Canis lupus familiaris: one gene and its partners. The protein of the gene in region 2 interacts with the protein of the main gene of each other region in a pairwise test. Links are inferred from orthologs where the notes say so. Each region holds a gene or a part of one and is shown on either strand. Other genes may lie near its edges. The genes, in order: PGAP2, CREB3L1 and FXYD6.

The links.
Region 1: the proteins of CREB3L1 (region 2) and PGAP2 interact in binary tests that used the Homo sapiens proteins (3 or more experiments, as listed by UniProt). The two-hybrid records come from large-scale screens. The link is inferred for Canis lupus familiaris from reciprocal best matches to the Homo sapiens genes CREB3L1 and PGAP2.
Region 3: the proteins of CREB3L1 (region 2) and FXYD6 interact in binary tests that used the Homo sapiens proteins (3 or more experiments, as listed by UniProt). The two-hybrid records come from large-scale screens. The link is inferred for Canis lupus familiaris from reciprocal best matches to the Homo sapiens genes CREB3L1 and FXYD6.

What each region holds. Positions count from the first base shown.
Region 1 is NC_049242.1:26,466,537-26,471,196, reverse strand, and holds the start of PGAP2 (post-GPI attachment to proteins factor 2), read right to left. Parts: upstream 2,849-4,660; 5' UTR 2,842-2,848; coding exon 2,753-2,841; intron 567-2,752; exon of another isoform or gene 450-566; intron 441-449; exon of another isoform or gene 231-440; intron 1-230.
Region 2 is NC_049239.1:43,563,945-43,568,672, reverse strand, and holds the end of CREB3L1 (cyclic AMP-responsive element-binding protein 3-like protein 1), read left to right. Parts: intron 1-368; coding exon 369-495; intron 496-3,034; coding exon 3,035-3,302; intron 3,303-3,425; coding exon 3,426-3,462; 3' UTR 3,463-4,135; downstream 4,136-4,728.
Region 3 is NC_049226.1:15,824,300-15,828,974, reverse strand, and holds the start of FXYD6 (FXYD domain-containing ion transport regulator 6 precursor), read right to left. Parts: upstream 2,905-4,675; 5' UTR 2,896-2,904; coding exon 2,838-2,895; intron 2,297-2,837; coding exon 2,261-2,296; intron 2,142-2,260; coding exon 2,067-2,141; intron 1,377-2,066; coding exon 1,340-1,376; intron 539-1,339; coding exon 489-538; intron 1-488. UniProt on the Homo sapiens protein: Associates with and regulates the activity of the sodium/potassium-transporting ATPase (NKA) which catalyzes the hydrolysis of ATP coupled with the exchange of Na(+) and K(+) ions across the plasma membrane.

The DNA of each region.
Region 1 (4,660 bases), on a different chromosome or scaffold from region 2:
TTATAAACATTATCCTTCCTTATCAAGTTGTAGGAAAAAGAGGAAGGAAATCAACCTTTACTAGGTACTTACTGTGTGTCAAACATGTGCCCAGTTCTTTGCAAATTCCCTTATTTGACCTTTACAAGACCTTACAACATGGGAATTTTTCTGCCCATTTTATAGATAAGGGAAGTGGGTCACAGAACAGTTAAATATTTGTGCGAGGTCTAAAAAGTAGCAAGACATACTTAGCTGTTTAACTCCAAATCTGACACTCTTTCCAATGTACCACTTAAGAAATCTAGACCATCACTCTGAAAGACAAAGTCTCTTGCTCTTCCCTGATTCTGTAGTCTTTATGAGTCCTGTCTCCTCCCTGAGGACCAATGTTTCAAAGCTGCATAGGGTGAGCTCTCACAGCATGTATGTGAGAGACTGGAGGGTTCCTAGCACAGAGCTGGACTTTCCTTTGTTTTGTCTCTCTTGGCCAGAGCAGAGTGTTGAGCTTTGGACATCTCTGGGATCCTGATGCCCAGGAGAGGGCTTGGTTCAGCAAACTTGTGAGCACGCACCAAATTCCTTTTCTTTAGAAGGGAAGAAGGAAGATGATGATAATCAAAAAGGCATTATGAGAATTAGGCAGAGTAAGAGTATATTGTCTACAAAGTCCTTTCTAGGGCAGAAGTACCCAGGAATGATGAACTTAATAACCATATGCCTACCACAGTAAGCATATGCAGAGAAGTCTTTCTGCATAGAAATCATCAGAAGGGATCCCTGGGTGGCGCAGCGGTTTGGCACCTGCCTTTGGCCCAGGGCGCGATCCTGGAGACCCGGGATCGAATCCCACATTGGGCTCCCGGTGCATGGAGCCTGCTTCTCCCTCTGACTATGTCTCTGCCTCTCTCTCTCTCTCTCTGTGACTATCATAAATAAAAAAAAAAAAAAAGAAAAAGAAATCATCAGAATTATAGAACTTTTACCTTGTGGCACCCCTCATCCAATGCCTCTCCCTCCAGTCTTCCTGCAACTATGCACTATTTAATGATCCTAGCTTCTGTATACACACTAGTACTTTGGACTGAATGTATTTACTTACAACATACTTTTGAGCCCCATTTCTGTGTCAGAATCAGTGTCTTAGAATATTTAGAATGGAAATTTCTTGATATTTTATTTATTTATTCATTTTGAGAGAGTGTACACACATGCACATGAGCGGGGGAGGGTCGAGGGGGGCAGAGGAAGAGAGAATCTCAAGCAGGTTCAATGCTCAGTGTGGAGCCCTACACAGGACTCAATCTCATGACACTGAGATCATGACTTGAGCTGAAATCAAGAGTCAGATGCTTACCTGGCTGAGTTACCCAAATGCCTCAGGAATTCCTTGACATTTTTAAAGAATAGGAATAATTATTTTACAGACAAGAAAACAGGTTCAGGTGTTAAGAAATTTGCCCAAATTCACACAGGTAATAAATGGTTGGACTCAGATTTAAACCCAGGGTTCCCTGACTTAAAAGTCTCACACTTCTAAAAAAAAAAAAAAAAAGTCTCACACTTCTACTACTATTCTGCTTAAGACAATAATTCACTCATTCATGCATGAAACATTTAATGTGGACCTACACTGTAGGCCTGGCCTTAGGGATACCAGAATAGTTGTGTTTCAGGACTGAAGGATGAGAAATCAAAGTTTCAGTAGGTCTTTGAGGAAGGTACAGTAAACTATCCAGGGAGAACTAATGACTTTCTAATGTAGAACACAGGCAAGGGAGGGTGGAGGAAAGGAAGGGATGTTTGGATGCAGGAGTGGGGGGAAAGTGGCTGGAGTCAGATGTTTAAACTAGCTTTCCTATTTGAACATCTATATATTTATTTTTTCCTTCCTTTGAACACCAACTGAGCACCTACCAGATGTCTCCTATCCATTATCTTATTTCATCTTTACAACCATTCCGCTTCCTAACAAATTAGCCAATTTTTTCTAATTCCTTGCTACCATTGAACACTAAGAGGGATTTAAATTCATCTACTTTTGTGCAGAGCCCATTTCAGTCTTGTATTGATGTTCCAGGAGAAGGTGGTGGTGGAGAGTAGTCTGAATAGGTTTTGCTTTCTGAGCACAGTCCCTGCTATTCTGTGTCAGGACTCTCAGTTACTGGGTCTGGTTTCTAGAACATGCTCAACATTTCCCCTTGTAATACTTCTGTTTTGGACTAGGCCAGGGTGGGGAAGGGAAACCTTTATGAATAAAATGCCGCTGTGACCTTAAAGAGCCTGGGCACAGAAGACAGAAAAGTAAATAATAGGATACAAAGTGACAAAGCTGTAACAGAGGCCTGCCCAACCAAGCAGTAGCCCAACACTCTGAGACAGATCTGGGAATGTATCCCAGAGAAGGCGGGAACATTTGAACCAGGCCTTTAAGAATAAATAAGAGCTCCTAAAGTGCAGGTGGTTAAGAAGTTCCAAGAATACTCATTTGTAACATATCCTACCCTGAGCCATTCCCTTAGGGCATGCTCATAGCGTCTATTCTGGGGATTCAGAGAGGAAAGGTTGTGACGGGGCCGGCATAGGTTGGGAAACCAGGAGGCCAGGTTTTGGGGCCTCAGAGCAGCTGCAGGCGAGCTATGCGGAGAGACAGACCTCCCAGGAGGGCCCTCCAGCTCCGCACGTGGTCTGGCCAGGAAGTACGGGCAGGACTACGGGGAAGCCTTCCCATCACCGCCCGCGGACTGGGGCAACGAAAGGGTAGAATAGTTACCATGCCATCCTGGAGCCTCCCCTCTGATTGGCCCGAGCTTCAGCAGCCTGACTGTCTCGGCTCCAACGCGGGGGGCGGAGCCTCGGCATAGCGTCACCACCCTTCTCCCGCACCCCGCCCAGTGCACACCAACGCAGCCACTCACAAGCCCGCCTCGCGGGGGCCTTGTGTGACGTCACGACTCGCCCCAGCCAATCGCGGCAGAGGGGGCGGGACTCCCTGTCCCTCCCACCGTCCCTCCCATTTCCCCCCCGTAACTCCTCCCGTTCCTCCTCTTCCCCCTCGCTCCTTCTCCCGAAGACCGCCCTCACGTTCGGTTTCAAAAGACCAGTTGCCCAATGAGTCGCAGGGCGGGCCTAGAGTGGCGGGGGCGTCTGCCAATGCGCAGGCAGCGAGGGCGGAGCGCCCGGGGCGAGCCTGTGACGGTAGGCGGCGTGTGACGCAGTCGGGCCCTCTGCGCGCTGCGCCCGAAGCGGCGGTCGGTGGCGGCGGTGGTATCGGCGGCGACGGTTTCGTGGCGGCCGCGCGCTGCTCCCCGAGCGGCGGGTGGCGGACGGGCCTAGGCCTTCACTCCTGACACTTCCCTTCCCCCACCGCACCGCGGTAAGTGGAGAGCCCGGGCGGTGGCGGCCCCGGACCGACAGGCTCCTCCTCCCCTCTGGGCGGGCGGGTGCGCGGGGCGTCCCAGGCCCTCCGCGCCGAAGTCTCGCGCCCGGGCGCGCACCTTCTGCCCCGAGGGAGGGGGCGGGGCCCGCGACCCCGCGGCCCCGCGGCCCCGCGGCCCCGCGGCCCCGAGGCCCCGAGGCCCGGCTCTGCGGGCGCTGGGAGGGGACCGAGGTCCGGGGAGCCAGGGCCCCGGGGTCTCCCGTGGCAGCCTGCGCTCGGGGAGCGTCCATGTATCTGGTGGTACTCATTCATTTGCCTGGCGGTGATTAGGTGGGCGGGCCCTTTGCGGGGGCCGCGTCTTAGGACCCTGAATAGGATCTCCCCAGCGCTTGCTTGGTTGACGGTCGTTCGGGACGGGCTTTAATTTGCCTTGACGTCTCCACGGGGGAGATGTGCAGCCCGGCGTTTCGGATGGGTGGGTCGGGAGTTTGTTAAGCTTTTTAACACAAGATCTGAGAATTAAGATCGATCTAGTGGAGTAAAAGGTTATTTTCTGCCCTCCCACGTGTTTCGTGTAAAGCTAGAGGAGGAGAAAGGTGGGATTTCTGGATTACTGTAGCTTTGGGGAACCTTAGAAATTAAGCCAATCCCCCTATCGTACATCACGTGCGAGTTTTATAGGTGGAGGAACTGAGGTCCAAAGAAGGGACAGGATTAGGATTAGCCTGTACCAGATCCGCCTCAGTCTAGAAATTTTTCTACTGTATCACTCTCCCTGGGTGTTCCATCCTCCTATTATTGAAGGTTCAATTTGGAACCTTTGGGGGGAGGGGGGTGGGGGCTTCGGTATTTAGAAGCAGCCTTCAACAGCGTTTCTGCGTGGTTACCAGTTCTGTTCGTGTTAAGGCAGAAACTTCATCTGCGGGACCCTAACCTAAACCATGAGAATTAAAAAGTTGGGTAAGGAATGTCGGTGATGTAAATGTATTGGAAACAAATGGATAAGACTCCCATGTCTGGCTAATTTCCTATTCCAAATCTGAAATTATTTGTGTCAGCTGCTGGGGACTCAGGAGACAGAATCCACTTAGTGACTCATAAGAGTTTTGGAATAGAAAGCAGAAAATACAGACAAGACTTAGATAGGCAGCGGTAATTTTGTAGTTCTTGTACCTTGGAATTTATGGCTCCTTCCTGACAGAATTCAAAGTATTGTAGTGGGAAAAGGTGAGGAAATGAAACCTCTCTTTGGAAGCAGAAACTAACTGGAAGAAAAGAGCAGTGATCATCCCCTGTGACGAC
Region 2 (4,728 bases):
CTGAGAATCTGGTGTGATGCTCTGTCCCCCATCCTTGTCTCCTCCTAAAAGCCCCCACCTACTCCTTTCTTCCTATCCTGATTCCTCTACCTTATAGGTAATAACTGTGTTACCACTTCCCTCCTTTTCTAATGCTGACTGTGGTGGCCCCCCACCCTACGATGGGCTGAGATGGCCTGAGCAGCCTCCTCCACCTTCTCCCTAAAGGGTGGAAGACCCCACATCTAGGAGGTGGTTGGCTCTGGGTGCTACTTTCTTGGAAAAATATGGGCCTTTTATACCTATTGATTTTGGGGGAGAAGGATTGGGGATGGCCAGGGTTGCACACCCCCCACATCTGCTCTGACCCCCACCCCCTCTACTACCAGGTGGCAGCCTTGTGCTTCGTTCTGGTGCTGGGCTCACTTGTGCCCTGCCTCCCTGAGTTCTCCTCCAGCTCCCAGACTGTGAAGGAAGACCCCATGGCCACTGACAGCGTCTACACAGCCAGTCAGAGTGAGTGCCTCCTGAGCCAGGCTACCTTCCCTCAGTCTCAACTTCGGGGCAAAAGCCAGATAAAAGAGAGGAGGCCGGCTTCCAGGTTGGCAACATCTCATTCGACCTCTTCATTTTGCAAATGGAGAAACAGGCCCTAAAGGGTCTGTGATTTATTCAATGTTCATTGTGGAATTGGGACCACAATGCAGGCTTCCCGATCCCAGCCCACCCAAGAGTGGCCTGCGGGGGTGGGGGTGGTTTAGGGGATAGTGGGAATGTTCCCACCCTGCCCTTTCCCACCGCCCCACCCCCAGGAATTACAGTAGCTGTGGTTATGGGCATCTGCTAGAAACGATTAGTATTTCACACCTGGGACAACAAATGAGTTGAGGTTCCAGCGCCCTACCCAATAAGCTGGTGGTGACTGTCCGAAGCACCGTGTAAGGAGAGCCAGGATCCACTGGTAGTGTCAGGCGTGTGCAGAGGAGGGGCAGTTGTGGTTGCAGGCTCAGACCTTTACCATCCCCTGGGTGACTGTGAGGTACGGTGCTTAAAGAGCATTGGGCCTCAGAGTTGGTCATGCCTGCCATCACCACTTGCTGACTGCGGGACCTTGGGCACATGTCTTGAGCTCCCTATGCTTTAAATGTCTTCATCCAAAAAACAGGAGTTACAGTTCTGCACTCACTGAGCGTGGTTGTCATCACAACTAAATGGCATGATGCACATACACTCTTAGCACAGGGTTCAGTACACAGCAGGCGCTTACTAAAGGAGCACATTCCCTCCCTTTTTGAAGACCTCACAAGAGGAGAGAAGAGAGAGACAATATGTGGGCGGCAAGGAGAGAACTGGTAGAGGGTGCGGCAAAGAATAGTATGGATTTCCAGAGGCAGAAGGGACTTCAGGTAGACCTACAGAGGAACTTCCTCCCTGGGAAGGAATTGTCTGGCAGGGCAGGAGGAGGAAAAGGAAACGGATGGGAGGTCAAAGAGGGAGGAGACAGCAGGAATAGGACTCAGGAGGGATAGGCAGGGAGAATGAGCTAGACCAGCAGGGCCTTCAGAGGTGGAAGGGGTGGGGAGGGTTAGAGGAAAAGGAAGTGGAGGCGTTGAGTGGTTGACTGAAAGCCACTCCCAGGACATGTGTGGCCAGAGACTCTTCTTCAGGACAGTTGCTGAGGGAGGTGGGGTGCAGGGGGTGTGAGGCCTTGAGAGTCATGAATTCATTCTCCAAAGCCAGAGAGGCCCTCTTCCGGTGAATTTGGAGGAAGAGAGGGATGTGGAAGGTGGAGGCCATGTTGATGGATGAAGCCAGAGTCTGAGGAAGTGAGGGGATGAATGAGCTCCTTGGAGTGAGTGCAGTGGGTTGCAGACTCCCAGTGTGCACCTGTGGTAGGACTTGGCTTCTAGAGCTGGCTGGCTTTCAGAGCAGGTACATTGCTCAGTTGCAGGGAGTGCCCTTTACACAGACTCTTAGGTCATGGCCTGAGGGCAGGAAGGTGGTGGTAGATCCTGGAGCCAGACGGACCTGGGTTTGCCTCTGGCTTCCAGCGTAAGCCCAAGTATCTGATAAGCTGGAAACTCAGTTACCTGTTCTATAAAACAGAGCTAAAAATATCTCCTTCCCAGGACTTTCAGTGAGATATGAGTGATTTGATATGCAGGTCAAAGGGCTTTGCACAATGCCACGCACAAAGGAGATATCCAACAGATGTGTTTTCTTTTCCTTCATTTTCCAGAAGGACACACTAGGGCCTAGAATGGGAAAGGGGGTGGGCAAACTCCTGGGTGGCTCAGTGGTTAAGCGTCTGCCTTCGGCTCAGGGCGTGATTCTGGAGTTCTGAGATAGAGTCCCACATTGGGCTCCCCACATGGAGCCTGCTTCTCCCTCTGCCTATGTCTTTGCCTCCCTATCTTTCTGTGTCTCTCATGAATAAATAAATAAAATCTTAAAAAAAAAAAAAAGAATGGGAAAGGGGGTGCCTGGGTGGCTCAGGGGGGTTAAGCCTCTGCCTAGCTGTTCCCTCCCACCCCCCCTTTACTCCCCCAAGACTCCTTGCTCACCGGGAAATCTGCTTCTCCACCCCCCCCCCTTGTGCTCTCTCTTTCAAAGAAATAAAATCTTCACCAAAAAAATTTAAAAATAAAAGGGAAGAGATTGATTCAAGTTCTCACAGAAAGTGAGTTAGTAGAAGCAGGATCAGAACCCAACTCTCAGATGCCCACCCTGGTACCCAGTGCTTAGGAAGAACTACTTTCTCCAAGTTCTTCCCTAAACAATTTTCAATCACTTTCCCCAGATTGTCTCATTAAACCACATTTCTATGAGGTTGGCCCTAGTATCCCTATTTTACAGATGAGCAAACTAAGGCTCAGAAAGGTTAAAGCAAAGGCCTGACTCACCTGAGGTCATACCAATTGGAAATGTTAGAACTGGGGCTCAACAAACTCAGGCCTGTAAAGTTGCAGGGCCCTCATCCCTCACTGTTGGGCTGGGAATGTGGCTGGGAGCAGGGAGCCTCTGCACTGAAGCTCACCATGAGTTCTCTGTCCAGTGCCCTCCCGGAGCCTCCTGTTCTATGACGAGGGGGCAGGCTCGTGGGAGGATGGCCGCGGTGCCCTGCTGCCTGTGGAGCCCCCAGATGGCTGGGAAATCAACCCCGGGGGGCCGGCGGAGCAGCGGCCCCAGGACCACCTGCAGCATGACCACCTGGACAGCACCCACGAGACCACCAAGTACCTGAGTGAGGCCTGGCCAAAAGACATCGGTGGAAACGGCACCAGCCCCGACTTCTCTCACCCCAAGGAGTGGTTCCGTGAGAGGTAAGTGGTTGGCCCTTTGCCATCCCAGGGTCCCAGGCTCCACCCACATTCTGCTCCAGCATGCAGAGAGGTGAGAAGCTCCTCACTGGACAGACTCACCCCAGACTTCTGTTCTCTTTCCAGGGATCTGGGCCCCAATACCACCATCAAACTCTCCTAGGCCGCGCCAAGACCCAGGACACAGGACCTACCCTCTGGCACCCAGAAGAGGGATTGTCTTGCTCTCTAACCCGGATCCAGCTTGTACCCCTGTCCCCTGGGCTCCCACCCCAGGAGAAAGGGTTCCACTTCTCCCCAGCCCTATCTTTGCCCCAATCTTTACCAGGGCCCCTCCTTTCCCCACCACATTTGGACTGTTCCCTTGGGCCGACCACTCTGTTCTCACCCCTCCCTCCCACAGTCATCCGTCCTTCTCAGATAAACCACTCACTGGGCTAACCCCCTCCTTTCTCATCATGACCAACACGACCACTGCCTGCCCGCCCCCTCCCCGCAAACACACCCACCAACATACCGACACACCCCCCCACCCCCGCCCCACTGTACAGAGACCAAGAACAGAAATTGTTTGTAAATAATGAACCTTATTTTTTATTATTGCCAATCCCCTAAGATATTGTATTTTACAAGTCTCCATCCTCCCTTCACCCCTCCCTTGTTTTATATTTTATAAAGTTAGTGCGGGCTTTGCTGTTCCCGGGCCCTCATCTGGCCTCCCCCTGCCGCCGCCCAAGCCGCCAGGCCTTTTTAATTGCCAGACTGCTTCATCCATCAGCTCAGCACATGCTTTAAGAAGGCAAAAGTAAAAAAAAAAAAAAAAGATGCAGCATCAATTCCTGACTTTGTGCCTTTCTTCATGGAGGGGGGTGACCAGGACCTGGGGATAGGCAGTGAAAAGGGGAAGTTGATTTTATGTCCTGCCAGGGGTTCATTGGAGAGGGCAGGGGTGAAAGGCATTTCTCCCAGGCTCCCTCTTCCCTCTGGGCGCAGGATTCAAACTAGACAAAGGATTCTGCTGTAATGTCCCCACCCCGCGGCCCCTCCTCCTGCGCTGCCTATGGAGGTAGAGAGGCCTGGCAGCCAGTCTTGGCCTTTGGGGATGCCACCTGCAAGCATCAAGCACCTGCTATGGACCAGACCCTGGGCCAGACACCTTCCGGGCAGTACCCAGCTTGGTCCTCCTGAGACCCACCGCATTTCAGCTCTTGTATCCTCGGCCTCAGCTGGGTCAAAAGTACAGACTTCACGGCAGGAAGAGCTGTGCTCGACTGCTGGGACTGCCACTTACTAGCTGTGTGTGGTAGGCATCCAAGCTTCCTGCCCCCCAGGCTCCCCCCATTGCCTCCACCACACACATCTATTTAATCCCCCCCCCACTAGGGTATGCAGAGGACTTGTAAATATAAGGGGATGTCACTCCCATAAC
Region 3 (4,675 bases), on a different chromosome or scaffold from region 2:
TGGGCCCCTCACCCCAGCAGGCCACCCTCCTGCAGGCAGCTGTGCCCGTGCCCGACACCAGGGGAGAGTCTGGACCATACAGCCAAGAGGCAACTTGGCAGGATTCTGAGTCAGACAGACCCAGGTGCAAATCCTCACCCTGCTACTTGCTGATTCTAAGAGTCTGGTACATTCCTTAGCTTTTCTGAGTCCCTTGGTGATAAAATGCTGACAGTGAGGTCTAATCACATGAAGGCCCCTGGTACCGTGCCCAACACAAAGCGGATGCCCTCTGAACAGTGGCTGTCAGTAGGGAGAAGGAAGCCTGTCTGGGGGAGGTGAGGGAGCCACGCAGAGCAGAGGCCCTGGAGGCCCCTTTTACGGCACAGACACGGGAGCACGTCTGCTTAGCCCTAGGGAGACCGTGGTGCCCGATGACCACCCTTCCCTGAGATGTCCGAGGACCCTCCGCAGTGACTTCTATCCCCCGGGGCTGGTGGTCACATTACCATTTGCAGTGATGAGGTTCTCCACCTGGGCCTCCTCATCCCCTGGAGCCCTGCAAGAACAAGAGACACAGCCCTTCCGTCAGAGGTCTGCACAGCAAGCCCAGTCTCCTTGCTGCCACGCGACAGTCTGCATGGGTCCCCACTGAGTCACTGGAGGGCGGGTGCACTCTCCACCTGGGGGTGCGTGGGGCAGGGGGTAGAAGCTGGGGTTGAAGGATGCGGTGTCGGGAACTCACAGGAACCTTCAGTGTTGGCTCTGGAGACAACTAAGTGCTGGGAAGGAGTGGCCAAAGGCCGCCTCAGGGCTTGGGTTGTGTCCTGCCAGACTTTGGACTTCGGAGGTCCTAGTGCTACCCCTGGTTTTTGTAGTGGACTAATGGGGTACATTCTTTAAGGGAGGGGATGAATGACAGGGAGCCCAAGCTTCTACTCAGCCGAAGAGCCCCATGAGCAGGTAACAAGCAGGGGCAGTGACACAGGTCCTATAGAAAGGATGTAGACCTCCTGAGAGGCTCTGAGGCCCTCTGCATCCCTCCTCCCAAGCCCAACTGTCTCCAGGGCCTCCAGACGAGCATCCAGCACCTTCTTGCCTACCTCCCCTCCCTAATATACATCAGAAGAGAGGAGGGGCTCGCCTCAACAGTTTGAGATTTACTTTGCCCCAGAACATGCCTGGCAGTGCTCAAAGCTTCTCCTCTGCTCTCCACACACACACACACACACACACACACACACACACAAGGCCTCTTTCTAAGAAGTCAAAAGAACGCTCATTTGGGCTCACACACCAGGGGGCCCTCCCTGTCCCTTCCTAGTTTCACCCCAGATGTCCACAGACACGGCATCCTTACCGGGGCTTCTGATTGAAACTGCACTTGCATCTGCGACCTAAAAAGCAAAGAAACCACCCAAGGTCATGCTCCCAGCTCGAGCTTAAGGCCATGCTCCCGCTGTGAGCCCAAGGTCATGCTTCTTGAGCCCAAGGTCATGCTCCCGGCTTGAGCCCAAGGTCATGCTCCCGGCTTGAGCCCAAGGTCACGCTCCTGGCTTGACCAGAGCAGGGCTGCCACATAGGACTACATAAAAAACACAGCAACGTGCAGCAATCCTTGGAGTAGGGTTCTTCTGAGGTCAAGGTTCAACGATTCAGTGGCTTCAATTGACTACCCTGCCACTGATTGAGTCGACTCAATCAGGCAAGTGCACAGGGCTCCATGCAGCCCAGGCTCATGTGGGAAAAACAAATGCAGGGCACATCCTCCGGAGCACTCTGGGGACAGCCTCTAACTCCTGTGGACCCTGCCCCACCTATGCCTCCTGGACACAAGCCCCAGGAGAGCCACCCTGCCCCTTCCTATTCCGTTTGTTTTCATCAAGCATTTATTTTGCTCATTCTTCACTGTTTTACTGAGCACTTACTATGTGCCCCAGGCTGTATATTAGGTCCTAGAGATACCAGGGAGGATGGACAGCCTCTTCTCTGTCCAGGTGAGGGTGTGGCCTGGCTCTGACACCATTCTCTACCTGCTTAGCAGCCTCAGACAACACCCTTCCAGAGCAAACAGGGAACGAACTTACTCAGGATAAGGAGAATCCCCACCGAGAAGAGCACCACGGCAAACACCAGGCCCCCAATCCTCAGCGTCTGATAGTCTATCAAAGGAGCAAGAGTGAGACATGGAATGAGAGGAAGGTGGGGAAGAGCATGGCTTGCCCTCCCCCGGGTGGGGCTATACCTCCCCTTCCCCACCCAGGGTTCCCATCAAGCTCACCATAATGGAAAGGGTCCTTCTCATTCTCCTGCTCAGCTGCTGAAAAAAAGAAACAAGTGTGGGCAAGAGAAAGACACTTATACCTCTGGTTCCCGAATACCACCCAAGCCCCCCAGGCCTCATTTCTCACAAAGGGACTCCTGGGAAGCACCATACAGGTGCCTGGGGAGGCAGAGAAGGGTGGGCCAGCCTGAGAGTCGAGGGGGGTTCGGCTCAGAACCCCAGTGTGAGTCTGCCTCCACAGCACATCCACATCCTTTGCGAGGCAGGGGCTGTTACCCTCTTGTTAACAGCCAGGGAAACAGAGACCAAGGTCAGGTTCTAGAGTGGGCTCCTGAGGTTCAGACCGACAGTCTACAGAGACCTGGAAGGCTTGAGGACTGACGGTAAAGCCTGCTGGGCTCTGTGGGGAGGGGTGGGCAGGCTGGAGGCGGCTCGGAGAACACCTGCTGCCTTCCAGCACCTTCTCTGCTGACTAAAGCGGGGACGGGCCGTCACTGATCAGACATGTAGACTTTGAGAGCCCCCTTGCCCGGCCCTATAGTCTCACAGGGTCGGGACCTGGAGGGGGACTTACCACTGGCCAGGACGGTGGGAGCCAGCATGCTGCACAGAAAGATCAGTGCCACCTCCATGGTGTCTGCGGACGGAGGAGGAGGAGAAGTCATTCTCTGCATGGGGGACTCCCCACCCCAACCCTCAGCCTGATTAGGGGGCTCTGAGTGGGGTTCCCAGGTCTACGTTGAGCACCCTCAACACCGTGAAAGTGATAGAGCAGAAGCAGCTGCCGTTTGCCCAACTCTTAAGGAGAGCTCTGCCTGCATTAATTCAATTCCTACAACAGAATCAATGCAATCGGTAGGCGCAGGGACTGACCCATCCTGTAGGGGAAGAGCCTGCCTGAGCTGGACACGCAGGACAGTGAGCAGCAGAGCCTTGGGGAGCCCTCCTTGAGAGCCCACGCTGCCTCTCCCATGCCCAAGCCAGAAAGCCCCCAGGGCTTTGGTAATGACCCTCTGCTGCGCCCTCCTCTTGAGGCCACCTCCAGGTCACTAAGAGGTTTGGGACTTCCCGGCCAGGTTCCCCACGTTTGATGAGACTGAATGGGGCAGGTAAGTGAATGCCTCTCTAGCCCAGCCAGCCACACGGGGCTGGGGAGGCTTGCTGTTCACTGGTCTCCATGTGGTAAACCCCGAGATGCCCGACACCCTCACTTCTAAAGTGCCCGAGTCGATGCTTCCCACAGGTTTCATGGAGTTAATACTCCTCCAGGAAGGCGGTTTGGTCAAACAAAGGTGCTTTGATGCCCTCGTGAGCTCATCAAGCCCCTGTCTTTGGGGCCAGGGTCCCCAGGATGGGTCCTCTGGACAGAGGTGGAAGGTGGCCAGCTGGTCCCTTCCAGGGACAGAGTTCAGTGCCATGACACACACCTTACTCCTGGGCTTACACAAGTGTGGTGATGAGCCAGCAAGGAAAAGTGGGGAGAAAAGCCCAAACTAGAAAAGCACAAGGCTGTCCACCCTTTATGGGGGTGAGCCTGGCAGTGGCCTGCACCCTGGACTGGTATCGAGTGGCCAGGACCATGCTGGCTCCGAGGGATCACCCCCATTGCCTCTCAGGCCGCAAGCAAGCAGCCCCAGCTGCCCTTCACCTCTCAGCCACCAGAGGTCAGAACAACTGCATCCAGCTCCGCGGGGCCCATGAGAGAAAGCCTCCCAGGAAGTGTTTACCAAAAGGCAGTAATTTGCTTCTAATGCCATTCATCTAAGATTTGCAATTCTTTTCAATTTTACATGTTCTGTATCTATAAAAGTGCATGTAGCACACGCGTATAATGAAGCTCAGTAAGACGAACACCGGTAATTTAAGAACTAGACCTTTACAAACACCTGCTGCATTTACCTGTACTTTCTTCCAACCCATCCCCCCTCCCTCTGCCTCACTCCCACAGGTGATCAGTATCCTGGACAACAAGTACCCATACATTTGTCATCATTGGCTTGTTCTTCAAAGGCATTTTTAAAAAAGATTTATTTATTTATTTGAGAAAAAGAATGCATGTGAGCGGGAGGAGGGGCAGAGGCAGAGGGAGAATCTCCAGGAGACCCCACTGAGCACGGAGCCTGGCAAGGCAGGGCTCCATCCAGGACCCTGAGATCATGACCTGAGCCGAAACCAAGGTCGGATGCATCACTGACTGAGCCACCCAGGCACCCTACTCAAAGACGTTTTTAGATTAAGATATAATTCACATACCATGAAAGTCACTTAAAAGTGTACAATCCAGTGCTTTTCAGTACATTCAGAAAACTGTGCAGCCATCAGCACTGATTCCATAACGTGTTCATCACCCCAGAAAGCAACCCTGTCCCCATCAGCAGTTGCTCCTGTTCTGTTCTCTCCACCCCCTGGCCC